Danio rerio: one gene and its partners. The protein of the gene in region 4 binds, or shares a complex with, the protein of the main gene of each other region. Links are inferred from orthologs where the notes say so. Each region holds a gene or a part of one and is shown on either strand. Other genes may lie near its edges. The genes, in order: snw1, prpf31, gemin2, snrpe, plrg1, smx5 and snrpd1.

The links.
Region 1: snrpe (region 4) and snw1 share a complex: the UniProt entries of both Homo sapiens proteins name them as parts of the minor spliceosome. The link is inferred for Danio rerio from reciprocal best matches to the Homo sapiens genes SNRPE and SNW1.
Region 2: snrpe (region 4) and prpf31 share a complex: the UniProt entries of both Homo sapiens proteins name them as parts of the U4/U6-U5 tri-snRNP complex. The link is inferred for Danio rerio from reciprocal best matches to the Homo sapiens genes SNRPE and PRPF31.
Region 3: snrpe (region 4) and gemin2 share a complex: the UniProt entries of both Homo sapiens proteins name them as parts of the SMN-Sm complex. The link is inferred for Danio rerio from reciprocal best matches to the Homo sapiens genes SNRPE and GEMIN2.
Region 5: snrpe (region 4) and plrg1 share a complex: the UniProt entries of both Homo sapiens proteins name them as parts of the minor spliceosome. The link is inferred for Danio rerio from reciprocal best matches to the Homo sapiens genes SNRPE and PLRG1.
Region 6: snrpe (region 4) and smx5 share a complex: the UniProt entries of both Homo sapiens proteins name them as parts of the U4/U6-U5 tri-snRNP complex. The link is inferred for Danio rerio from reciprocal best matches to the Homo sapiens genes SNRPE and LSM2.
Region 7: snrpe (region 4) and snrpd1 share a complex: the UniProt entries of both Homo sapiens proteins name them as parts of the SMN-Sm complex. The link is inferred for Danio rerio from reciprocal best matches to the Homo sapiens genes SNRPE and SNRPD1.

Annotation. Positions count from the first base shown.
Region 1 is NC_133195.1:5,542,395-5,545,894, reverse strand, and holds part of snw1 (SNW domain-containing protein 1), read left to right. Parts: intron 1-301; coding exon 302-406; intron 407-502; coding exon 503-572; intron 573-732; coding exon 733-798; intron 799-907; coding exon 908-1,024; intron 1,025-1,338; coding exon 1,339-1,480; intron 1,481-3,382; coding exon 3,383-3,485; intron 3,486-3,500. UniProt on the Homo sapiens protein: Involved in pre-mRNA splicing as component of the spliceosome. As a component of the minor spliceosome, involved in the splicing of U12-type introns in pre-mRNAs.
Region 2 is NC_133191.1:35,281,639-35,285,016, reverse strand, and holds the end of prpf31 (U4/U6 small nuclear ribonucleoprotein Prp31), read right to left. Parts: intron 2,590-3,378; coding exon 2,517-2,589; intron 2,412-2,516; coding exon 2,283-2,411; intron 1,152-2,282; coding exon 1,053-1,151; intron 923-1,052; coding exon 803-922; 3' UTR 749-802; exon of another isoform or gene 717-748; 3' UTR 501-716; downstream 1-500. UniProt on the Homo sapiens protein: Involved in pre-mRNA splicing as component of the spliceosome. Required for the assembly of the U4/U5/U6 tri-snRNP complex, one of the building blocks of the spliceosome.
Region 3 is NC_133192.1:14,292,630-14,296,645, forward strand, and holds the start of gemin2 (gem-associated protein 2), read left to right. Parts: upstream 1-1,216; 5' UTR 1,217-1,326; coding exon 1,327-1,445; exon of another isoform or gene 1,446-1,466; intron 1,467-2,491; coding exon 2,492-2,573; intron 2,574-2,653; coding exon 2,654-2,743; intron 2,744-3,919; coding exon 3,920-3,979; intron 3,980-4,016. UniProt on the Homo sapiens protein: The SMN complex catalyzes the assembly of small nuclear ribonucleoproteins (snRNPs), the building blocks of the spliceosome, and thereby plays an important role in the splicing of cellular pre-mRNAs.
Region 4 is NC_133186.1:40,122,906-40,126,983, forward strand, and holds the start of snrpe (small nuclear ribonucleoprotein E), read left to right. Parts: upstream 1-1,278; 5' UTR 1,279-1,400; coding exon 1,401-1,454; intron 1,455-1,743; coding exon 1,744-1,770; intron 1,771-3,132; coding exon 3,133-3,195; intron 3,196-4,078. UniProt on the Homo sapiens protein: Plays a role in pre-mRNA splicing as a core component of the spliceosomal U1, U2, U4 and U5 small nuclear ribonucleoproteins (snRNPs), the building blocks of the spliceosome.
Region 5 is NC_133176.1:27,248,398-27,252,485, forward strand, and holds the start of plrg1 (pleiotropic regulator 1), read left to right. Parts: upstream 1-1,288; 5' UTR 1,289-1,386; coding exon 1,387-1,395; intron 1,396-1,583; coding exon 1,584-1,690; intron 1,691-4,088. UniProt on the Homo sapiens protein: Involved in pre-mRNA splicing as component of the spliceosome. Component of the PRP19-CDC5L complex that forms an integral part of the spliceosome and is required for activating pre-mRNA splicing.
Region 6 is NC_133181.1:30,702,745-30,706,709, forward strand, and holds smx5 (smx5), read left to right. Parts: upstream 1-1,165; 5' UTR 1,166-1,241; coding exon 1,242-1,244; intron 1,245-1,660; coding exon 1,661-1,728; intron 1,729-1,840; coding exon 1,841-1,871; intron 1,872-1,963; coding exon 1,964-2,023; intron 2,024-2,885; coding exon 2,886-3,011; 3' UTR 3,012-3,946; downstream 3,947-3,965. UniProt on the Homo sapiens protein: Plays a role in pre-mRNA splicing as component of the U4/U6-U5 tri-snRNP complex that is involved in spliceosome assembly, and as component of the precatalytic spliceosome (spliceosome B complex).
Region 7 is NC_133194.1:2,232,850-2,237,057, reverse strand, and holds the start of snrpd1 (small nuclear ribonucleoprotein Sm D1), read right to left. Parts: upstream 2,801-4,208; 5' UTR 2,657-2,800; coding exon 2,643-2,656; intron 2,053-2,642; coding exon 1,976-2,052; intron 1-1,975. UniProt on the Homo sapiens protein: Plays a role in pre-mRNA splicing as a core component of the spliceosomal U1, U2, U4 and U5 small nuclear ribonucleoproteins (snRNPs), the building blocks of the spliceosome.

The DNA of each region.
Region 1 (3,500 bases), on a different chromosome or scaffold from region 4:
TAATACTGATGTGCATGTGATTTTTCAGTTTTTTTTTTTTTTTTATTTCAAAAAAATTTTCAAATAAATTCACATTGTCATTATGGAGTACTGTCTGTAGAATTTTGAGGAAATAAATTAATTTAATCCATTTTGGAATAAGGCTGTAACATAAAAATTTTGGAAAAAGTGAAGCGCTATGAATACTTTCCATATGCACTGTAGATGTCTTTGCGCTCCAAGATGTTAACAAATCTGTATTTTAGTTGTTTGAGTTCCAAAAATGTTTTGTCAAAACAAATTGTTTTAATATTTCTTAAAGGTACACACCCTCTCAGCAAGGTCTCGCATTTAACTCTGGAGCAAAACAGAGGGTCATCCGTATGGTGGAAATGCAGAAAGATCCAATGGAACCCCCTCGATTCAAGTATGTTGTTTTCATCCACAATTTTTAAGTAAGTTTGATCTATAAGGGAAACTCTCAAGAAACTCTGTGTTTTTTTGTGTGTGTGTTTTCTTACAGAATCAATAAGAAAATTCCTCGTGGACCTCCTTCCCCTCCTGCTCCAGTCATGCACTCTCCAAGCAGAAAGGTGGGAGTTTTGCTTCCTCCAAATATCGATCCCAAACATCGACAGTCATCAGCTTTGTTTACACTCCGAATTCATACAAGCCTGTCTTGAAGTATTTCTGAGAATATCCCAACAGACCTCAAAACATCATTGTTTTTCTTTTTTGTGTGTGTTTTTTTAGATGACAGTGAAAGAACAGCAGGAATGGAAGATTCCTCCTTGTATTTCCAACTGGAAGAACGCAAAGGTACCGGCGAATCTTCATTAATTATTCAGCTGTCTGTTGTCGGTTCGAAATATTGACCATGAAAACAACCCACATTGCTTTCTCACATCTCTCGTTTGTTACTTCTCAGGGTTACACCATTCCTCTAGACAAGCGTTTGGCGGCTGACGGACGAGGCCTCCAGACCGTCCACATCAATGAAAACTTTGCCAAACTGGCAGAGGCTTTGTACATAGCAGACAGAAAGGTACGCTTCTTGTTTACGCATCCCTTAACACTTTGACAGACATTGCTAAGTTTACTAACTTTTACAAGTAGAAAAGTATTCTAAAAGACTGAAGAATGTCTGAACCACTGATCTGTCTCAAGATGTAGTCTGTGAAAGTATTTTGCGTCTTTTTAATAAATTTGGAAAGCAATTTATGGTCTGGAATGCAGACTTTTTATAATGCAAACCGTTCCTAATTAAACAATCTTTGTAGAGCTTCACAGGGTTTTACTTTCACCTGATGTATGCACAAGGCTGAGTTTGGTAATGTTGGTTATGTGATTTTTGAATAGGCCAGAGAGGCTGTGGAGATGAGAGCTCAAGTGGAAAAGAAGATGGCCCAGAAGGAAAAAGAAAAGAAAGAGGAGAAGCTGAGAGAGCTGGCTAAGATGGCCAGAGACAGGAGAGCTGGTATCAAACCCCACGGTGATAAAGGTACCAAAAGACTCATTTAATGTCAAGTCCATGCTAACATTGTGGCTAGGTTTTAAAAAGTGAATTGGGAATGTCTTTTAAGTATTATTCAGAAACAGTTAGAGATCACACAGGTGTCATCATTTAAACCTTAAGGTTGCAAGTTTTAATATTGTAAAATGACATTCAAATTGTTAAATAAATATTTTCAGTATTCAATTTTACCTTTTACACTACAAACAGCATTTTCTGAAAGTGGTATTTATTCATGATAGTCAATGTTTAAATTGTCAGCTACATTTTTATTAATCATTTACGCTTAAAGGTGCTTTATAAAAGTTTTTGACTCTTCTAAAGCATAAAACTACCATAATACGTTTGCAGATATCTAAAAAAAATGTGCTTTCCGTGCTGGAATGGCCATCTTGGTTTTGGTTCTTTTAGCCCGTCCAATAAAAGTTTAGTCATTTACATTTTTGCACCCTGGGTTGACATGGTGAAAAACTGCATATTTTATTTATTAAGTCAGGAAGGCTCTCGAAGTATGCATTCCTGACTGAAATGCGACCTCCGGTGAGCAGTAACAGACTCCACATAAGAGTTCCACATAAGGTTATTAATTAGCAAATAATATAAATATTACGAATGTAAACATTAGTTGAACAGGTTACATTGCAACCCTATATCCTATATAATACCCTATATAACATGCTACGTGACAAAATTTGCAGTTATAAGCAATTTGGCTGTTTGCACCAGACGAAACGCAACAGAAATTAAAACACAACCATTCAGGAGCACAGAATAGCGCACTTACTGGATTCTGACCAAATGGTAAGGTTTAAAATCTAATTAATACATGCTAAACCTCTTTGATATTAAATGTTTGTGCTGTATCACTGATATTGATGTTATCCGCGCGCAAAAGTATAAATGCACGGCTGCGCGCAAGGCTTGTGCCGTGGGTCACAACGATCACTCAACACCAGACCCGGATCAAGAATTCAGAGGTCCCTGGGCACAATATCTTGTAGGCCCCCTACCTAGCCACACCCCTGTAGTTGAATTAAAAATTAAGATCAATTTTTTTAAATAAATGATGTACAGTACATATATTTCTAGTCTACAAAGATTTTACTTATTTTTAAAGCATTTAAAGCAGAATAAAAAAAAATACTCCATAATACACACACTTATTAATCATTCCTACTTGCCTTCCTCGAGATGAGGAGTAGGCAAAATCGGATATGTAGTGGGGAAAAAAGAAGAGTTTATTAGATGCTGGATTCGAAGGATTCGGTTCAGGATCGATCACGTCAAAACATGTTGCCATGCGCTTTACGAGCTACGCCACTGACGCTGCTATCTATTGTGCTCTTTAGTGATGTTGTCTCTGTCAATCAAACGGTGATGGACGTGAATCGCTTAATGCCTATTTGTTAATCCGGCCCTGTTCAACACAGAAGTATAAACAAGTATTTAGGTCCAAATGTACACACCCACTACACATGAAGTTGATTGGAATTACAGTTCTCGACGTTAAAAAAAAACCCCAGACAGACAGGGTTTATTGCCTTTATTAGAGAAAAAAAATGTTTACCCCACCTTCTGAAGCTTCGAATATTTGATATTCATTATTACCAAAGCTTCTAAGCTGAAAATAATAGTATTTAGACCAGTACTTGAATCCTTTACAGTTTTGGCAAATGTTGATCTTAAAAAAACTGTTAAAAAATTTTGTATGTTATTTATTGTGGTTAATGGATTTTTGTTGTTTTGTTTTATAAATAAGTCATGTATAAATATGAAATAAGCCATGAAATAGTCATTGAAGCTGAGATCAACCTTGGTTTTAAACTGATCCTTGTGCTAGACCTTCATAATGCTGTCACATCACCATTTATGTGTCTGGTTTTGTCTCAGGTGGTGAAGACTCCGAAGTCAGGGAGCGTGATGAGATTCGTCACGATAGGAGGAAAGATAGGCAGCATGACAGGAACATCTCCAGAGCCGCCCCCGATAAGAGGTGCATGCATTTTTT
Region 2 (3,378 bases), on a different chromosome or scaffold from region 4:
AACAATAGAATTTGCACAAAGAAATGATGGGGGTCTTCTCTAAGGAAAGTAGCTCAGATCGCCCAATGCAGTCTACAACTGCGCTGTGTGTGATTTGTCTTCATAAGGCTGCAGTATTTTGATTACTATTAATTACTGTTTAATTGGTATTAAAGTCACCATGGCATTTAAATTTGCTCTTATTTTTAAAATCATTGCCATTATTTATTAAATCATGCACCGCACAACATTTGTTTCTCATTTCAGGACTGCTTCAGATGTGATGTGTTGCAGACAAACCTGATCCTAATAATCCAGGTGTTCAAAAGGGTTATGAACACCTTCATTAGATGGAGAAGCGGTGTTTAATCAGGGTCGGAGCATAACTGAGCAGAGCTGCGGCCCTCCAGGAATTAAGTTTGAGACAACCACTTTAGATTATTTTGAATGTAATATTAGTTTCTTACAGGACAAATAAAAAAGTTAACAAGCACTAAAAAGAAAAAAAGAAAAAACTCTGGTCCAACTAGATGAGCAACTTTATTCACTCAGTGTTGTTTGTAATTGTCAAAATAAAAATAAAAAATTCCTTAAAATGAAAACTTGCATTTACAATGTTCTGTTCTATATAGACAGCACTAAACACCTTTGTTTGATGAAATACAAAAAGAAAACCAAATGTACAAAATGTGCATGACAGCAATCCTCATGATGTCACCGTCCCCACACAAGTCCATCTGAGTGGGTGTGTGACAGATTCACACTTCATCTGCTAATTTATCCATGGCTGTCACTGCATGTCTGATGCGCCGCCGCCGACGCCTCACACCTTGTCCTCCTTCTCACGCTTGACCTTGAGGAACTCAGCCATGTTGGAGAAATATTTCTGATTGGCTTCAGCCACCTTCTTCTCTGCAGCCTGTGGGTTCACAATCTCCAGCCCCTGACAGAGAACAGATGCTTTACTAACAAATCAACCAAACCAACGCTGGCAGTCTGAGATTCAGCACGCCACAATGAACCAGAACGTGCACGAAAAGAGTCAAAAGCAGCTGGACTGCGAGACAGTGTACCTGTAGAGGAGTGAAGGCCACGCTGGAGCTGGTTCCAGACGATCGGTCTCTCACTGTAGACTTGCCTCCGTACGTCATGCTCTGCTTCTGCAGTGTCCTCTGCAACAACACAACTGATGTAAGACCACGTGTGTAGAAATAATGGATAAAAATAATGACAACAATCAAGCTGACACATTCAATTCTGTTAAAAAAGAGCAAGGCAGCAAATTGACTCAGAGGTGACAAGTGATTCAGGAGGATTTATCCCAGATTAATGTCCTTGAGAGGCTTGTTTAAAAAAGAAATCATTAAAATAATGATTGAATGGGCTCTATGCAGAGCTAGTGTTTTTCAGCCAATGATGAACTTCTGGTGAAAGCTTAATGTGACTTATCAATTTCATAATGTTCCTTTTACAGCATCAATGTTGTAATGGAATTACAATACATTCGGTTAAATAGACTTCAGCAAACAATTAATGAGTCTCATGGCTTTCAACATTGATATTATTAATACATGTTTTTTTTTAGCTCTAAATCAGCAAATTATATTGAATGATTTCTGAAAGATCATGTGACACTGAATGTAGTTGGGTAATGTTGAATGTAGTTGGGTAATGTCTGTTGAATTTTCAGCTTTGCCATCATAGACATATATTTTATTTTAAAATGTATGAGAACAAAATAGCTTTCAATACATTATTATAGTTGACTTTATTATAAATGGTAAATTTATTTCACATTTTTTTTCAATTAATTTTTTTTATAAAAGCAGCCTGACGAGCACAAGAGGCTTATAAATAAAATCAGTATTAATTAGTCATTTAATATAATTTTTATTTATAATATCTCTTTAATAAATTGATCACTTATCGGGAACTTTTCAATAACACAATACAGCTCAAATTAAGGACATGTGGTTATTTTACTGGCTTGTGTTTTGTTTTTGTTTTTAAATCCGTATAAATTCAATTATGTCAAACTTAAAAAGTCTTGAAAGATGACTTTATATAATTTAATAAAATAATAAATAATTATTACAAAGCATTTCCGGTTTTCCAGAGCATTTCGTATGTCTGCTTTCATTTTTAGCCCAGAATTTTCATTTTGGTACATCTCTAAAAAAAACGCACCAGATTCGAAAATATAAGCGAAAATATAAGCAAATTAGCCATCTGTGAAAATGCCCCAAGCAAAGAAAATTTGCTTTCAAAGCTTCATTTTCCCTTAGTATTTGCTGCAGATGTACCTGTAAAGATTTGGATATTCTGGCTTTGGTGGAGTCGTTGACCTGAGCTTGTCTGACTCTGCCACTGCCAGATTTTCCCAGCTGACCGAGACTGAAGCCCAGATCCTCCTGATAGGCATCGTCCTCAATCTACACAGAGAAAGAGAACGTTAATAACCCGCAGTAGCTGAATCAATCTATAGAATTTCAAAAGCAAGCACACTAATGGAGAGCTGCTGATGCAGTTCATCTGACCTCTGCAAAAGTCATTCTGTTGGCGTGTTTCCTGATCTCAGTCAGTCCCAGTCTTTCTTTCATCTTACGATACCTGAGAGAACCAGGAAAAATGCAAGTCAATCAAAATAATTCTTTAATATATGAAAGGTTTCTTTTTAAAGACAGATAACTCAATATTTTGTAATTGTAGATATCTTGTTTTTGTTGTATATTGAGGAGTACAACAATAAATAAAAAAAACATGATTTATTAGGAAAAACAATGGTCAAAAATCATGTTTAGTATTGATGCGTACAATATCGACTGAAGTCCTTAAAGGCCATGCGTCAATATAGTTTACTTGTTTTCTTATGATCACAACTTAATTTTCTTGTGATCTCAACATAACAAAGTTGATCTCTCATGTTTGAAAACCTATTTTTTCTGCTTATTCCAAGAGTATATATTTTTGTTACTTTTTCTCATTAATGCACTTGTCATCATCATTATTTTTTCTCTAAAACTTAGTCATTTAAAAGTGCAGTATGCAAGTTTGACACCCATTGGTTGAACTAGGTATTGCAATACAGGATCAAAACACATTTTCACTGGGCTCCTCCTCTGACAAGTCCATGCAAGCGCAGGTTGCCAGATTTATGCGAGTGTGCCTGACTATCAAGCCTAAAGGCTGATTTGAACAGCTTGTCAACTAAAAGCAATGGCACGTGATAGAAGAAATATTTGTTATACAAAAAAGGAGTTTTTGTCCTAACAAAACTGTAAATTTCTATTTTAGAAACAGTTAATCTTGTTGTTCACCTGTGAGAAATGGATCACCTCAGGTATAGCTCATGTGCTTTATTCAGTGTTAGATGCTAACAATGTGAGTTTGAATGCCATT
Region 3 (4,016 bases), on a different chromosome or scaffold from region 4:
CAACTTCAAAGCATTACCGAGTGTATCATGGCCAGTTTTCAGTTTAAAAAAGAATCATGCATTCATCCAAGTTAATTATATATAATTTTATTATAAACTGAGTAAAAAATTAACCCTGAAACCAGTTTCCAAAAGTCGTCAATAAATGTACAAGCACAAAATAGATGTAGGAGACTTTCAGGTTTAAAACATTCTGATGAAATGTCTTTTTAAAATGTATTAATGAACAGATGGCAGGGATACCTGTGTAATATTTTCTTTATCTTTTTTAAATACATTTACTGTATTACAGAAAGATACATTTGGTGCACATCATTTACAATAATAATCATTAGATTATTTACAATGGTGCCAATAAAGAATGAAAAAGAAGAAAAAAGAAAGAGGAACAACCAACAGAAATCAAACAAAAAACAAAGAAATATCAATAGGCCATCTGATCTGAGGGTAGATATATAGATTTAAAAAAAATTGAAAGTGAAGAGGGCAAAATAAGAAGCAGCAATTTAGAGATTTAATTGATTATAAAGGTCGTGCAAATGGTATGCTTTGAGTACTTTCTTGTTAAGTGAATCTGGAACTGTAAGTAATTTTTAATCTCTTGTAAATGCTAGAAATGTTAGCTTGCAACTTGACATTGACAATATACATTTATGAACATAAAATCTGCATAAAGAAAAAGGTTTATTTTAAAGTAGACATTAAACTTTGTTATAAAAAACACCAAAAATGACTTTTGTAGTCACAGAAAAATGCTGTAAAGTAATATTTGGACAATTGCATGACCAAAATAAGCGAGGAGTTTCAGCGTTAATCTGACAAAAGGAGATATTTGTATCAAAGTATGATCCAAATCTTTTCTTTAAGACATTTTTGATAGGATAAATGTTATGTAATAATTTAAAAGATATTTCCTTTACCTTTTTAGTAAGGAAAAACTTGATGTATGGACCATATATTTCCCCAGTTTAAATAATCAAAAAGACCGTTTCAATGTGAGATAGCAGAAGGGGTAGAGTTTTCAAAAAACACAGCTCTTATTTGATAATTTTTCCTTTTTATTTAACCTTATTGGGGAGTAAATAAAAAATATTCTACTTGTACAATATTTCTCCACCATTTTATGTTGTTACCCTTCACATTTCTCCTAAACAACAGATGTCGCTACACATCTTTCCATCTGTAAGCGAGTGAATAAAAGAACCGTCGCGTCTATTGATCGTCATCCTCGTGTCCAATGTTTTCAAAATGGAGAGGTTGACATGCACGTAATAGTGAGCATGTTGATTTATTTTGATGGTCGTGCATAAAAAATAAGGCAAAGAGATGAAGTCAGACGCCGAGGAGTTGATGCCCAGACTCCTGCCAGTGGATTCCTGCGACACAGAGGAATATACTCTTACCGAGCCGCCTAGAAACCCTCAGGAATATCTCAGATTTGTCCAGTAAGTCTTTCGGCTATTGAGGTAAAGTTGGTTTAATATTCGCACATTCAGACATTCTCATCAATAATACAGTTTTAGAAAAGTATTATTTGCAAATTGTAAAGAAGGAGATCATATTAGCTGCCAATGACTACTAAAGTACAACATTATTCAGTCAATTAAACAGTACTTATGTTGTTAAACCCTACTGGAAAAAAAAAACAGCTTAAACCAGCCTAGGCTGGTTGGCTGGTTTTAGCTGGTTGACCAGGCTTGTTTGAGAGGGGTTATGGCCATTTGCAGGCTGGTTTCCAGTCATTTCCAGCCTGGTCTTAGCTGGGCAGGCTGGGAGATGACCAGCTAAAAACACACACACACACACACACACACACACACACACACACACACACACACACACACACACACACACTCACAGAGAGAGCGCTGTGGGGGAAATCAGAGCACCTAGAGGAAACCCACACCAACACGGGGAGAACATTAAAGCTCCACGCAGAAATGCCTTATGGCCCAGCCAGGACTCGAACCAGTGACCTTCTTGCTGTAAGGTGACAGTGGTTACCACTAAGCCACCGTGCCGCCCGTCAAGATTGTGGCTCTATGCTGGTTTCATACCTAGAACCTCATAGTTTGTTACCCAATGCTTAGCACGTTGAACTAATTGATCAAATTGGTAAAACTAGTGATCCGAAGGACAGTGGCACTAACAAAATATGATTTGGGGCTACACTTTAATGCTTTTGGCTAATAAATTACTATTACACAGAATAACTATTGTAAATATTGTTTGTAAAAAATGTTATTTTACACATTCTAATGCAACAGGAAAAACAAAACTACTTTAAAGCTGTATTAGCTTTTTCTTGTTGATGAAACTATGCTTGACTTTGACTCTTGTTCGATGAACATTATAGTAGTCAGCATTTTACAAGTGGATTGAAAACGCTTTTCGAAATTGTTCTAAGACAAGAGTGGGTGTTGTTCAATGGTTTTCGGGCAACTTTAATAAAAAGACCCTGTTTAAATATCGACTACTGTATATTTTACAGGAGGGAAGCATCTCTGTGTCCAGATGTTGTTGTGGCACAAATTGATCCAAAGAAGCTGAAGAAACAGTCAGTGAATGTGTCTGTAAGTGGGAAAAGTGAACTGAATAATCTGTTATAAATTCTGTAATGTGTAAAATAACTGTGCCATTATTTTTGCCTCAGATCACAGGTTGTCTTGCTGCACCTGAGGGTTTTTCACCCAGCTTTAAATGGCAGCAGCAACAAGTCAGCAGATTTTCAGAAGTCAGACAGGTGTTCAATATTAACCACATTAGTTTCTTTAAAGGGATAGTTCACACACAAAAAATGAATATTTACTCATTATTTATGAATGTTACTATTATTCAAGTGGTTCCAAATTTTTTCAAGTTTATTTTTTCTGTTGAGCAAATCCATTCATTCATTTTCTGCCGCTTTTCCGGGCCGGGTCGCTGGAGCAGCAGTCTTAGGAGACAACCCCAGATTTCCCTCTCCCGAGACAGTTCCTCCAGCTCCTCCGGGGGGGATCCCGAGGCGTTCCAAGGCCAGCCAAGAGACATAGTCCCTCTAGCGTGTCATGGGTCTTCCATGAGGCATCCTCCTGGTGGGACATGCCTGGAACACCTCCCTAGGTAGGCGTCCAGGAGTCATCCCAAACAGATGCCTGAACCACCTCAGCTGAGTTCTCTCGATGTGGAGGAGCAGCGGCTCTACTCAGAGCTCCTCCCGGGTGACAGAGCTCCTAACCCTATCCATAAGAGTGCGCCCTGCCACCCTTCGAAGGAAACTCATTTCGGCCACTTGTAACCGTGATCTTGTCCTTTCTGTCATGACCCAAAGCTCATGACCATAGGTGAGAGTAGGAACGTAGATTGACCGGTAAATCGAAAGCTTTGCCTTTCGGCTCAGCTCCTGTTGAGCACAAAAGAAGATATTATAAAGAATGTTAGAAACCTGACTTCCATAGTAAAAAAAAACAAATATTATGGAAGTCAATGGTTACTGCTTTCCAACATTTTTCAGAATAGATTCTTTTGTGTTTAGCAGATGAAAAAAAAAACAGGTTTTACAGGTTTTCAGCTTTGTTCAAAATAAAGGATGAGTAAATGATGACAACTTTCATTTAATATTTCATTCTGTCATCATTTACTCACCCTTTATTTTGAAGAAAGCTGAAAACCTGTAACTATTGACTTAGTAGTAGTATTTAGAATTTGTTGTTACTACAGTATTTCTTTTTCCTAATATGGAAGTCAGTGGTTACAGGTTTTCAACACTCTTCAAAATGCCTCTCAACAGAGGAAAGAAATTCATAAAGGTTGATAACCACTTGAGGGGGAGTAAATACAGAGTAAATGTTCTTTTTGGTTGAACTATCCCTTTAAGTACTTTTAGACTTTTTAGAATTTGTTTTTGTAATTTGTTTCATCCATATATTTCTTGTTTCAGAGTGTGAACAAGCATCGTCAGCATTGGAAAGCTCAGTTTTTGGATGATAATGTTGTCATGGTAGGACTTTATTTATTATTGGGCTTAAATTAAATCT
Region 4 (4,078 bases):
GCAATTCCTAGCATGTTTGTTTTTTTAATTATTTTTATTGTGTCAGAACTTGCTGAAGTGAGTACACAGACGTACACAGAGTACGCAGAAAATGTCCTCTTGATGGACAAAGTATAACTTACAAAATAAACAAAGAAAACATCAGATTTTCAATGACAATTTAAAAAAATATATATTATTTATACAGATTATAAATACATAATATATCAAATACACAAACGAAACAAGAGAGAAATATACTAAGTTGGTAACAAATATATTCCAATATTTTAAATAATACAAATATTTAAGAGTCACTACAGATAATGGATTGTGCTGAGCTATTGAGAAACAACTACTAAACAATAAACTATAGAGTTTAACGCGAAACTAAAACAACATATACATATACAATTAGTCAATTCAATATTTTTAACCTTATTTTCTTCTCCCTTAAGTAAATGTAGATCGAGCTAAGTAATATAATTGCCAATGTTGACAACAAGATAAGCTAGGCTAGCTAATAGCCATGCCACATTACGTTACAAAAGCTCAGCTTACATACAGTTAAGTCGTATTAAAATGAACAGTTTTTCACTAGAATTGTGTACTCTTAAAGATAAACAGAAATATAATCATAAATGTAATAAAAATGGCTAAATCACTCACCGCCGAGCGTCTCTTTAAACAACAACAGACACACTGACCGTGCAAAAGCCTGCGCGGTACGTCACACACACCTTGTGTACTACGTCGAAAACTACGCTTCAAATGTGATCTATTACATATATCTATGATCTATTAATGCGTCAATAGCATTACATTTCAATATCAGCGGAGCCTTGGTATATTTAATAAGAAATTAAATGGAATAGCTGTACTTTTTAATGTAATAAAGCGTTTAAATGAAACTCTAAGGGTAAATGCTGATTGAAACCGGTATAAAGACCATGGTCGAAAGTTTTTGTCATCAAAGGACTTTTTGAGAGCTAAAGTGGGAGTATGCCGATTATCTTTTGATCTTTTGCTACTTTGTTTATTTCTGATCGAGCACCTGCTTTTGAAATTTTTAGATGTGCGCACATTTCTGTTTTTTTTTTTTTTTTTGCTTTGAAACCGGTGTATTATTATTGCACATAACGTCTTAACAACTTTTAATAGTAGTATGCATTATATAAAGTTTAAATAAAGCATTATATAAAATTGTGTGAATCTGCCTTTCTGTAGTGTCTCCCCAAGCCACAGGAGGCATTACATAGAATCAGCGCGCCATTTTATCTGCGTCATTCTGTTTCCGGATTTGCGCCGCCATTGAAACAACAGCAGCCAACGTGAGATTTTCGTTGCCGCGCCAATAACTATTACACTTAATATCACATTTTGTCACTTTTTATAATAACATCCGGATATTATTGAGAAGAATGGCGTACAGAGGACAAGGACAGAAGGTTCAAAAGGTCATGGTGCAGCCCATCGTATCCTTTCAGGCCAAATAGCTGCATTGAGCTCTCGCCATTGTACCGATATGTGTTGGATGTGTGCTGTTATATGTATAATGTAATATACTTTGACATATTATTGTATAATATAATATAGTTTAGCATATTATTGTAGGTAATATAAGTTGTGTTAGCTAACATTTTGAATACTAAATACTTTTAGCAATGTTTGAGCTGATTATAACAGTGTCCCTGCGTTACAAATGAATGAAAAAGGTTATGAATCGTGTTTATATGTCATTTGTTTCCTTAACGAGTCTTTCAGAACCTTATTTTCAGGTATCTACAGAATGTAAGTACTTGTTTTTCAATCTGCGACATACACAAGCTTTTATCTGTCCACATATGTCTATTTTTTCATGTGTTTATTGTATTTTTGTAGAGTAAAATCTTTATTCTGTTATACCTGCTGATTTATAGATGTCTTGATAAATATCAAAAGTGGTAGTTCTCTCAGAAATGAAAATATTGTAAGCATTGAGGTAAAGTTTGTTAAATTATATTCACACATTCTGAATTTCACGTTCAATAAAATACAGGTCATGGAAAACCTGAAAAAGTCATGGAATTTTGACACAGCATTTTGCAGGCCTGGAAAAGTTTTGTAAAAACAGGGAAATCCACAGAATTTTGGAAAAGTCAGAGAAATTAGTTGAAAAAATATCTGTACACTTGATTTAGCGCGATATTGAAAAGATCTGACTTTACAATATTTTGTATTTCTGTGATCTATATTGCGATGTGAAAACTATTTCACCTGGTGATTTAAATAGAGGTAAAGTTGGTTTTATATTCTGATATTCAGACTTTCCCCTTAATAATATAATTACAGAAAAGTATTCTTTGCAAATTGTAAATGGGGAAATCATATGAGCAGCAAATGACTATCAAAGTACATTGTTCACAGTGAATTAGATAGTGTTAATGTTGTTTAGAACTCATACGTGCATGCTAATTCTGAATATTTAAGGTAACATGGTAAACAATAAAGAGACTGCAGTGCTAAATGAATGAATGTGTAAATATAAAACCAACTTTACCTATTTGATTCAACAGGTATATTTGGATTGATTGGGGGAATTTTGTAGAGGAGTGAATCTTGAATAATACATAACAGATCAATTACAAGCATAGATAAATAAAATATAGTAAAGATAAAATATAATTATAGTTTTCAGATAATCAACACTGCAGAGTCTTCACTGTATATTATTTAATCTTTATTAGAGTTACAAAACATTTCTTGTGGCCGGATGTTTTGAAATTTGAAATATTGAAATGTTCACACAGTCACAAGCCTTATAGGGACAGTTTACTTAAAGATTAAAATGTACTCACTATTTACTCACCCAACCGTTTACTCCATTATGATTAAACTCGAAATTAAACTATTATCTAATATATATAATTTAATATAATTTTAGGGTCAAATATCGACACGCCCAAACATTGGGTTAAAAAGTGACATTTAAATTTCATTAGATAAAAGGTTTTGTCCATATTTGACCCAATTTTGGGTTCCGACAATCCAGCATTTTTTTTTTTTTTTTTTTTTTTTTTTTTTATACAATGTTTTTTAAAAATTGTTTTGTTTAAACCACTTGGCACAAAATCTAAATGAGCAGTTGGTAATAATTTTCCTGCTTCTTTGCAGCGTTCCCGAATCTCGGTGTGGCTGTACGAACAGGTCAACATGCGGATAGAGGGTTGCATCATCGTGAGTAAAGTCTCCGATTTACCAATAACACTAGAGCTGGGAATCTGGGCTGCTTGATCAATTGAAATGAAAACTCAATCCTACCTTTTCAGGTTAGCTAAATCCTAATTCACAACTGACAAAATGCGCATAAAAATCGCCTTCAATTTATTGCCCAGCCCTACTGGGATTCTTTAATTAAATCAATGCATTGAATCAATAAATCAATATTCAACTGCAATTCATTATAAAGTGATGAGTATTTATTTAATATAGCAGAAGACGATATTATTAGCCCTCCTGTGAAAATGTGAGTTCTTTTTGTTGAACAGAAAACTGGGAAATCTTCTCGATATGTCATGTATGTTTTTTTCCTCTGGAAGATGTACATTTATTTTACTTTGGAAGGAAGTAAAGCAATTTTGACCTTTTAAAAATAATCTCAAAAGTTAATATTATTAGCCCCCTTAAGAAATATTTACATTTTTGATTGGCTTCAGAACAAACCTCTGTTCTCCAATGATTCCCTGATTACGAATGCTTTATAATCATTGCTTATGAATGCTAATTACCCTTAAGCTGAATGCTTGTATCTTTTAAAAATAATATAGCAAAAACAAAAGAAATTAGTAATTAATACTTGTTTAAAAATGTGCTGGAACAATCTCTCTGCTAATCAGCACTTGGGAATTATAATTATTATTTTTATAAATATGCCATCATCGGTGTATAATATTTACTCCTTTTATCAGTACAATATACACTCACAAGCCACTTTATTAGGTACACCTGTCCAACTGCTCGTTAAGGCAAATTTCTAATCTGCCAATCACATGGCAGCAACTCAATGGCTGTTTCTCAATTCCAAGAATGCAGAGATTGGACTTGCGTTCTTGTGGAGACC
Region 5 (4,088 bases), on a different chromosome or scaffold from region 4:
ACTTTGCTGTCAATGGAGGATAAGGGAGCTCTTAGATTCATACATATCTTAATTTGAGTTCTGAAGATGAACTATTATCTTGAGGGTTTGGAATGACATCAGGGTAAGTTATTAATAACAGAATTTTCATTTTTGAGTAAACCAATCCTTTAATGATATTATTGCAAATATGCCATGTTGATGGCAGCTATCAAGGTTTAGATAGCTATCATCTTAATATACATCAATTAAACAGTAATAAACATTTCTTTTTGTAGTTCAATAATGTATGGTATGGTAAGGACACACAATAAAAAACGACACAGAAAATATTATATTTACCTCATATTTTGATATCTTGTGAGTAAGGTATCAAGGCGGCCCAGTCAGTCAGTTTACATAGGACTACTAATTTTGTTTTCATACAAAGTAGTTTTTTTAGCTTTAATAAACTATCATAATAAAAGCTATTTTAATTCCGGTAAGGACCATGTAAATGTGTGGGATGGCCGCATTTAGTTACAATAAAAAATCATAAACAATATTAGCCTATATAATAATAATAAACTTGAAGAAAGAAATGTTAAATAAGCTGATGAAAATCAAATAATATAAATTTTTAGTAAAATGTTCTTATTTTTTAAAACAAATTGTGACCAGAGTTATGGAACATGAACAAAAATATGTTTGGAGGTATTTTCATAAGTTTAGGCTATATAAAATCACTTAAATATTATTATATATAAACAAACATTTTTTTCAAGGTCTGTAATATTTATAAAGCATCATATACCAAATTTTAACATATATCTAAAAATATGTAAATAAAAAAAACACTTTCTCTTGGCAAAAAAGTATATTATTTTATAGTGCCACCTTGTGGATTCTCACTAGTAGGTCTTTTACTACATCCTAAATTTTCAAAACTAGCAGATGAAATAAATTAAATTGGCTGCCTGACCTTTTTACATTATTTATTTATTTATTTATTTATTTATTTATTTATTTATTTATTTATTTATTTATTTATTTATCTATCTATCTATTTATTTATTTATTTATTGGTTTGTTTGTTTAGAACCCATAAGCAGTCATTAACTTTAGTGTTTAATGTGGTCTTCCCAAAGTTGTTGGCAGCCAAATACATCGATACTGTAAATGTTGTGTTTATTGTAAATGGCCATAAGTTGACTTTTTGGTGATAAAAAAATAAAAATAAAATACGAAAAAAAAAAGACTTTTAATGGACTGTCGTGTCTTGCTGACGTAACACCCTACCGGAAAACGCTTTGTCGCGCCCGGAAGCTGTGCGTACGTTTGCACTACTGGTTCGGGTTGTGATTGTTCGGTGTGTTGGGAAGTTTCTTTATTTGCGTTAGTTCGTCGTGTTTTAAAGGACCCCCAAACATGACCGAGGTAAGGCTGTGCTGTTGTTGCATTAGCCGTTGTTCATTTGAAAATGATATCTGTTTAGTTTTTCTGTAATTGAACGCGGCGTAACGTTACTGTATTACCACACGTGTGGTCATTTGGATCTGCATATACGTCTTATAATATCCAATCAATTAATCGATGTTGATATTTTGTCTTTTTTATACACACAGGACGTGCAGAAGCACTCAGTCCACACGCTTGTGTTTCGCTCTTTGAAACGGACTCATGATATGTTTGTGGCGGATCATGCCAAACCTATAGCGCAGGACGAGCAGAGGTAAATAATCAAACTTTTTGCTCTCAGTATTGTATGGCAACGTTGATTAAAAATTAAAATCGATATAGACCTTTCACTCACCCTCAGATGGTTCCAAACCTTAATACGTTTCTATTTAATTGAGATATGTTGAAGAATCTTGGAAACCGGTTGCCATTGACATTCATAGTAGGGAAAATATTATAAGCGTCACATTGAGGTGAAGCTGGTTTTGTATTCGCTCATTCGGACTTTCTCCTTAATAATATAATTTTTGTTAAAGTAATCTTTGCAAATTTTAAATGGGAAAACCATATTAGCAGCCACGACTATCAAAATACAGTATTGTTCACAGTCAAATAAATGGTGCTAATGTTGTTTTGAAGTCATATTTATATGTGATTTCAGACTGAATGATCAAAGTACCTAGGTAAACAATATAGGGAGCATGTCACAAGTTATCACTGAAAGAATGTACGGATATAAAACCAACTTTTCCTCAATGGACATCATTGGCTACCGGCTTCCAAGATTCTTCAAAATGTCTTATTTTGTGTTCAACTAAAAAAAAATCTGACAAGTTTGGATCAATTGGGAGGGTGAATCATTTTTAATTTTTGAGCAAACTGGCTTTTCAAGCAGAAAAGACATTTTGAATGGTGGTGGTGATTTATAAACTCGTGTTACAGGGTTTGTTAAAGCCATGTTTTTTTACAATAACATTTTACAGCATTTGACAGGCTGTTCATCACCACTGTGAAGATCCTACTCAATGCTTGTTTTACAAGATTTCCTTATCTGCAAAACAAATTTCATTGGACTGTCCTGCTTTTAAAGGGGTGGTCCAGAGTGTATTTTTAAGCCTTGTTGTGTTTATAAGATGCAAAGCAATGTGTGCTCATGTTTAATTTGTAGAACATCTTACTTTGATTATATACAACTACTCAGCTAACATGAAAACAACTGTCATTTCCTAGTTTCTTCAAAAGCCTGTCCTCAAGAGGCTCTGATTGGTCAGCTAACATAATGTGCTGTGATTCACAGATCGGCTCCACGTCACCAGGAAATGCACCTCTAATAGCATGCACTGTGCCTTTGCTTGTGTAAATACTGTCAATCAGTTTAGCTGTTAGTCATATCAGTTTGAGCCTGAATCAGAAAGAAAAAGAAAAGGACACAGCTGAACCTCACGCCCGTTCTCTAAAATAAAACCTGACAAGTGTCTTTCACATATATCCGGAATAAGCATGTGTAAGTAATATGAAACTTTCACATATCTTTTGCGAGTTTGTTGTCTGAGATGTAGAACACAGGGAAATCGACCTCATAGACACTGCAGCGTGGTAAAGATTGTGGCTGTTTACAAGGGTTTGATGGACAAATATGAATTTGTAGCCAAATTGTTAGTAGTGCCCTACAGCATTTCCCATTGTTTACATTTTTGTTTGTGTCTTTGCTTCAGCATACCGTTAATGATAGAAACTGTGCATGTAGTAGATCAATTATAACAAATATAAATATCAGTTTTGTCTATTATGGTTGCAACTTCTGCTTCTTTGGAGGAGTTTTAGCCGAATCCAACACTGAACTTGGAAACATTCTGGAAGCTGTCCTTTGTCAAATGCTAGAGCTTTATCATTTTTATCATTCTCTGGAACATAATTAAAATTAAGCTAGTTCGATTGAGTAGGCGCAGCCAATGTGACATCGTAGCGGAGTTTGCGGAGGTTTGGGTGCGTACAACATGATTTCGGGAATAGTTTTTTTTCTTTACACTCGAGCAAACAGTGTGTGCGGTGCCGCATTTGATTTGAGTTTAATATGAAACACTTTGAAGAGATTTTGTCTGGAACAGGTACGCCTGTACAGACATCTTTTGTAGAGATAACCATTTATAGGATTTTACAGTGATGTATATATTACAATTTTGAATTTAAAACAATTTAATAGTTACAAAACTAAAATGAAGGAACAAAATATTTCTTTGATAACTGGAAAGGAATATTTAAACCCATCGGTTTACAATATACTGATGGCTTGTTTGTCTAGGCTTTATCAAATCAAATCAGGCCTTTATTTGTCACATACACTTTCGTATTGTGAAATTTGACCGTACACAAACATCACAATTTTCAGGGGAAGACAGGTCACAGGAGGTAGCATTTAGAAAGGCAAGATGCATCAGGAGGGTTAGGCAAAAAATACCCTCTAAACTTTGCTCTTGATTAGAGCAAATTGAGACGGAGAAAAACAGCCCATCTAGCACAAGAAAGCACACAGACAAGACACAACATTGACAACTGGGATGGGAACAGGGGATATGGATGTAGTGCGATGAGGGTGGGCAGCCATCTGGTCCTGCAGCCATGGAGGAGCTGGTCGCAGACCCGCCCACTCCTCTCATGGGTGAAAGCATACG
Region 6 (3,965 bases), on a different chromosome or scaffold from region 4:
ATCTTTTTTTGCAAATAAACTTTTCATATATTATATCATGTTCCTTCTGTATAACCTGTCAGAAGTTTTTAATTATTAAATGTGCGTTTCTCATGTTGTCACTTTTACATGTTTAGGCATACAGTACATCTTTCTTTTTCATTAACAGTACAGTGCATCTGCAGATCAACTACTGGCATTTGAAACAGCATCGGAATCGCCACTCATTTATTCATTCATTGTCTTTTCGGCTTAGTCCCTTTTGTAGGACTTATTGTAGGACTTATTGTTATGTTGTTTGTTTCAGTGACAAACATTTAGCATCAAAGTATTTTACAATATTTTAAACTACAAAAATAAAAGACATTAATGTATTTTTAATACAAAACATTAAGCCATTTCCATCAACCCTATCATAAATACTGCCCATCCCTGCTTATATTCATTCTAGGTAATTTTCAGAATGCTTGCTTTTAAAAACAGGAGAATGCATATTAAAGCATAATGTTATAAGAAGGCTCTATATGTTTAGGAACATTTATCTTTAAATTATAGAGAATCCAAAATCCATTTTTATTTTCAGAAATGTTGAAAACTTGTAAGCACTGACATTCATAGTATTTGTTTGTCATACTATTAAAGTCAATGGTTACAGGTTCCCAACGTTCTTCAAAATATGGAAAGATCAAGATGGTTTTAAACAAGTAAATTGATTAAATTGGCTGAATTTACATTTTTTGGATGCACATAAATACATAATCGTGAAAAACATTATAATCATTAGCATGTCGTGGAGGTTTTGTTTTGTTTTACAATATAGCGTTTTGTAAGTGGACTGCTTTTTTGTTTTATAAATGGGGATAACGCAGAGGATTAACCTGAGCCCTGGACTGTGCTTTATTATTATTTGTCTCCATCTGCTGACGAAAGAGGGAATTGCCAGAAAAGAGGAGCCATGTACGTGTATCAGCAAGCTCTGTGTCAGACATGTCATGTACCTCTTCGGGCATAAAGTTGACTGTTTTAAGAAAATATTTCACATCCATTGAACATGCGCCTTTTAATCTCTTTTGTGTGATGAACGATTGCGGAATAATTTACTGAGATGAGTACAAATGACGCAAAAACAGAACAAAACGCCAACAATTTCGCGACCAATGGGATTTTTACGTCTTCATTCTTCTAGCCAATAGAAGCACAGAGTGAAAGACCCGGCAGCTTTTTGATGACGTATGTGATCTAAAGCACAAAGCCGCGTGAAAATGGTAAGTGTTGTTATTTAGCAATATCATACAGTAATTTACGTTTAAGGAATTAATAAACGTGCTACGACCATTTGTTTAACATATTTAGGTTTTTTTGACCACTGTGTTCGCGAGAAAGACAAACAATGCTTCATGCTAACAGCTAACGCTAGCTTTCTTCATAGCCAAATAAAACAACATTCTCAAGCAAGGATTATCCCCTTAATTAAATGCCCAACAGAAACAACTCTGGCTGACTCCTATTATATTAAAGTCTTGGTATTTCATTTGCCTGCGTAATTTAGAAAGCAGTGTTATTTGCTGTTGACATTTCTCATTTGGTCTGTTGATAAAACTTGATTCAATCGTTTTATCGATGTCTTATTTGCTGTCCGCCTCATATTTTGAGAGTAATTCCTTCAAATGTTTATTCTCAGCTCTTCTACTCGTTTTTCAAGTCTTTGGTTGGCAAAGATGTTGTGGTGGAGCTCAAGAATGACTTGAGGTGAGTGCTCACCTTTCTTTTACAAATATTATATATATAATTAGAAATTGAATATACATATTTTATAATGTATGTGCCAGCTCGTAAAACTATGAACACATCTATTTTGCAGCATATGTGGAACATTACATTCAGTTGATCAGGTACGGAAACTGACTCCACACGTTTATTAATATAAACAAATATTGGGCGATTTAGGATTAAGTTAATCTTGTCATTTGTTCTTCCCTCACAGTACCTGAACATCAAACTGACAGATATCAGTGTTACTGATCCAGAGAAATATCCGCACATGGTGAGAAATGGATGAAATGAAAATTACACTCATAATCTTGGGTCTAATATCTTTATCAATGTCATGGAATTTTAAAAGGTTCATTTCAGACATTGAAATTTAGGAAATGTTGATATATTTTTGTCAGATTCATGGAATAACAGGGATTTTTTGTTTGTTACTTTACATTTTAGCTTTTCTTTATTAAAATATATTTGATATTTACAGCCATGCAAACCGCAAGTATTTTTTTTTTATATTAAGTAAATTATCATTTGTTGTTCTCATAGTGGCTATTAAATGAATGTAATAAAATGGCTAAAACCATTTCAATATATTTTTAATTTAATATTACAATTTTTTATAAGCACTACAGAAGCCTGTTATGTTCATGTCATGGTTGATATATTGGTTTATGGTAAAAGTACAGAAATTAATACTATGAAAAATCTGAAAATAGCAAGTGTAGGACCAATTTATTTTAAAGAATATTCAAAATAAAATTTTTTTTTGAATACTAAGTCATCTTTATTTTTTGAAATATGCAATAAAATATTTTCAGATTCTCATATAACATTGCTTTGGTTTTATTGTCAAAAAAACTAACTAGAAAGCAAGTGTAGAATTGCAACAGGATTTTTTTTTGTAAACCAACAATGCTGTGTAGTGAAAACCATTATTTAAAACGGTGAAAATACGGTCAACCATTTGATAGAGCAGGCAGCTAAAGGGTTAAAGAGGGAACCCTGATAATTGAATTGATTCCTAAATTAATGTAGATCAGGTTATTAAGTCTGTGATTTATGAATTGTCATAGTGATGTAGGTGCTCAACAAGGAGAACTTTGGTGTATATAGATGACTCTAATATTGTTTTGTTGTAGTTGTCTGTGAAGAACTGCTTCATTCGTGGATCAGTGGTGCGATACGTTCAGCTTCCTGCAGATGAAGTGGACACACAGCTACTACAGGATGCTGCACGCAAAGAAGCTACACAACAGAAACAATAATGTTTATATTTGAGAATAGTTTGGTTTTGTTCCAATGTTCAGAAGCATCATCTGTGGAGTTTTGTTGATTTAAATGTTTTTCTTACCTAAAACATGTAAAGTTTTTTTTTTCTCTTTCATTTTTACGTCATGTGAAGCCTGTTATTGAGGGTGTGATTTACTGTTTTTTTTTTTTTACTTCACAAGTTAGTGGTTGTGTGCTTTTAATGAGTGTTGGTAAAGTTCTGTACTGCATACCAATGACTTTTAGTTAGGTTCACACATTGATGCAAAAATAAAGTATTTTCCTCTGTTTTCACACTTTCCTTTTGGTGGAAAAAATCGTCCATTGTTGGAGTTCAGCTGACAGCATTTTACAAATTATGTTCGTGGAATGCTGGTGTTTTGGTTTAGGCAGGCATGTCCAAACTCGGTCCTGTAGGGCTGGTGTCCTGCAAAGTTTAGTTCCATACCCAATCAGACACACCAGGGCTAGCTAATCAAGCTCTTACTAAAAACATAATTGCAGATGTGTTGAGGCAGGTTGGAGCTAAAATCTCCAGGACACCGGCCCTCCAAGATTGAGTTTGGACACCCTTGGGTTAAGGTGAATGGATAGTTTAGCAGAGGTGTCAAACTCAATTCCTGGAGTGCTGCAGCCCTGCACAGTTCAGTTCCAAGTGTATTGGAGCAGGGTTGGGTTTCAAAGAAGCCCGAAAGATTTAATTACTTTAATCTGGTTGTGCTTACTTAAACTGAACTAAACAGTGCAGAGCTGCAGCCCCCCCAGGAACTGAATTTGACACCTGTAGTTTACAGCCTAGTCCCAAACAAAAAAGTAAGTTGTTTAGAGTAAAAGAAACTCGTAGTTACTGTTCCTAAAATATACCAGTGCCTTTGTTTTGTGTTTTTTAGGCACTTTTATGCGCTAATAAAGTAATCATGGCTTTATCAAAGCGAATGTAGACCACACTA
Region 7 (4,208 bases), on a different chromosome or scaffold from region 4:
ATCAGATTAGACCATTAGCATCTCACTTGATTCTTCTGTAGTTACATTGTGTATTACAACTAGCAAGAAATGAAAAGTTGCTATGATCTATATCAGGGGTTCCCAAACTTTTTAACTCGTGACCCCCAAAATAACAATTTTAGTAACTCACAACCCCACTATCCTCTGAGGTGGTTATAAGTAGGGCCAGATGGAATCTGCGGGCGTTTTTTGCTATTTCTGCGGAGAGTTTTGGTAAAGATCTGCGGAATTATTTTGGGAGTATCATAACTAAAACCTTAATATATGACATAAAAAAAAATATCTTTATATAATTTTTATTTAATGTTTAAAATGCTAATCCAATTAGATTCACATTATTTGGTAAACAAAGCAAGTCTCTCATATAATATCTCTACTAAAAGACAGAAAATATTACGGTACAAACTGCATTGTACATAAGTCAGACGAACATTTTCATATTAGTCAATAATATTACTGAAATAAATGTAAAAACTGAATTAATATAGATTTACACACATTTACTCAAGTAAATAAACAGAATTAATGATGGGCTAAACATCAGCGGAATTCAGCTCGCGCAAAATAAGTGTGGGCCTAGTAATAAGCATACAAACACTGTACACAATAATGCACACACACAAACCAATAGCAACTATATAAACAAGCTTATTGACAACACAACAAAAGTGCAGCAGTTTATCAACCATATCATTTTATAGTCACTATTCATTTGTTTAATTTAATATTAACCTCACTTAATGAGAATTGTGAAATATATACAGCACAAGTCTATTCTTGATTTAATTTCGGAGACCGCCACTTGGAGATCGTCCTCTATGTTCAGTCGTGGCCTTTATTTTTAATGTACAGGAGTGCTGTAAATGTGTCAAAGTTTAACATTGAGCCGTAAAATAAATCTGCTGCAACTAACACTATTGCTGTGTTATTAATCTAGCGTAATCACTCAAGGAGTCGTAATCCAATGGAAAAATAATGTAAACGCTGCTGTCTGTTTATGTACATGTTTTTGTTTTAAATGTAACTATTAAACACTATCTTCTGCAGGTTATGGATAAAATATGGTAATTTTAATAATTTATTTATATGTATATATTGGAAATCACCAAGCAACCCCCCCTCAAGGACTCACGACCTCCCAGGAGGTCCCGACTCCCACTTTGGGAATCACTGGTCTAAAAATTGAAAATCTCCACAAGTAAAGATGTAAATTTTCACACAATACCATGATCTATTGTTTTTCTGCTCACATGATTATTATAATACGAGTCTGACTCAGTGGCATTAATTCATCAACAAAGTATAACAAGTTTTCTAATTATTATTATTAGCACAATATAGGGCATATACAATGAGTCTTTTTAATTCAAGTTTATTTGTATAGCGCTTTTTACAATGACTAGTGTTTCAAAGCAGCTTTATAAAAGGTGCACAGTATTGCATAACAATCCAATTAAGTCAAGTCATTTTCAGCTAAAAGGTTAAATGCATTTTTTCCGGGAGCTGACAGATGTAATTGAGGTAAAGTTGTTTTTATATTCACACATTCAGACTTAATATAATTTCAGAAAAGTATTATTTGCAAATACTAAATAGGGGAATCATATTATCACCAAATGACTATAAAGCACAATATTGTTTACGGTCTAATATTGTTTTGAAGTCATTCTTATATGTGATTTCAGATCAAATATTCAAAGCAGCGTGGTAAAAAATAATGAATCTGTATTCACCTTTTTAAATACTGCTTTGCTATTTCATAGAACGCCAAAGTCTAAACCTGCTAATATAAAACCAACTTCACCTCAATATAAGCACATTTATTGGCCACCTATGAGATGTAATGCATCAGATTCAAAGAGAAAATGCATAATATGACCTCATTTAATGAAACAGGCACATAGCAGACAGTTTATAAATGTGATTATGGTGCATTACTTAAAATAATAATTACCTGTAATTGTGCCATGGACCTGTGTGCCATTCTTCAGCTCAATCGTGACGGTTTCATGGCTCAATTTCATCAAAAACCTGCAGGTCACAATCATAAAAACAATGATAAACAATTATAATAACATAACGTCTAATATCTACATATAAAGCATTTTGTCAATATGATTATATAAAGTATTTACAGCTTACTAATGATAATAAACTGATAACTATATTTAAAACAAATGATAAACTATATATCCAATAATCTTTAGACTTCCTAACTACACACTATAGTGTCTATTAACATAATTATATGATTATATACAGCTAGCATATTTAGAAACTAGTAAATAAATGTAGCTAACTTAGCATTAACAGTTATTGTTTCTGTTTATGTATTTGTTGCATTTAAGACCCCGCATGATCAAACTACCACCAAAAAACGCACAATGTATTAATAATCTAAGACTAAACCCGCTTATTACATAGTTTAAAACACGTATGTGCTTAAAACAAATGAGTAAAACGTTCAAACAAACGCTCGCCCATTCATTCATTCCCGCCTGATGAAGCTAACGGCTAACTAGCAGCTACACACAATCCGGCTCCATCTATTAAAATACATCGCGCATCCGCAAAGTTTCTTTGTGTATTTTACTTGTATGACAGCTGTAGATGTTTATTACCTGACGAGTTTCATGATGGCGGTGGACTTTGAGAGAAAATCCTCCACCTAGATGAGAAAAAATTGTAGCGCAAAACGAATGTAGGACGCTACTGGAGAGATGGTACAATCACTTCCTGGGTGAAAGGGAAACAGAATTCTGAGGACAGAAGGGTTGCCATTACTCAACAAAATCACCGGAATATTTTTACACGCTGGTAATTTCATTTATAAGCATGTTATAAACATACAAAAGCGAATTTAAAATTTTAAATGTTGCTACAACAATTTTTATTATGATAATAGCTTAAAAGTATTTTTCAATTTCGATATCTCATGGTACATAGGTTAATAAAAATACACTTTTAATTAACCAAAACAACAATAATTTAATCTCACAGTAAATAGTTTCCTTAAAGCATTCTTTTAAAAAACCAAAACAGCAATATTAATCATATTTAAGGCTTCAATTGCGTTTTAAGATAATAAAAGTATAATACAGATTTAAATTTTGACACTTTTTTTTCATAAATGTTTAAATCTTTTCCATATCACAGCGCAGCTACAAAATATGATTTATTTTAGACTATGAATAAAAATATACTATAATAAAATATTAACTTTATTCTGTTTTTTTCTTTGTAATTATATTTTCTTAATTCAAAAAAATAGCATTCAACATCCACCGGAATAGATTTAGTTTTAACGTATCTGGCAACCCCACAGTGACGATACAGTAAATAGGTTAATAAAAACACACTTTTATTAAACCAAAACAGCAATAATACCCATATTTAAGGCTTTACTTGTGTTTTAAGATAATAAAAGTATAATACAGCTTTAAATTTAGACAATTTTTCATGTAGTGTCATTTTCATATCAAAGTGAAGCTCCAAAATACTGTTTATTGTAGATAATGAATAAATAAGATACTATAATATAATGAAAGCTTTATTCTGTCTTTACTCTATTTATATTTTCCCAGTTTAAAAAAAAAGCTGCATTTAACAACCACAGGAATAGATTTATTTTTAACGTATCTGGCAACCCTACAGTGACAATATCTCACGGTAAAGGTAAATAGGTTAATATAAACATACTTTTAATTAACCAAAACAGCAATAATAATCAAATTTAAAGTTTTAGATGCGTTTTAAGATAATAAAAGTATAATACAACTTTAAATTTAAACAATTTTTACGTATTTTTTATACTACAGTGAATCTCTAAAATACTATTTATTTTAGATAATGAATAAATAATATACTATAATATAATATAAAGTTTCTTCTGTCTTTGTAATTATATTTTCTCTATTAAAAATAACATTCATGCACAGTTGTGGATTCAATTTTAAAATATCTGGCAACCCCGTGGCGATATCTCAAGTAAAGGTAAATAAATTAATAAAAACATACTTTAATTAACAGAAACAGCAATAATAGTCATATTTAAGCTTTAATTGGGTTTCGAGATAATATAAGTATAATACAGCTTTAAATTCAGACACTTTTTTCACGTAGCAAAAGATTTAATTTAACGAATCTGGCAACCCCGCGGCAGGAAGTGAATCCCGGAAGTGAGCGCT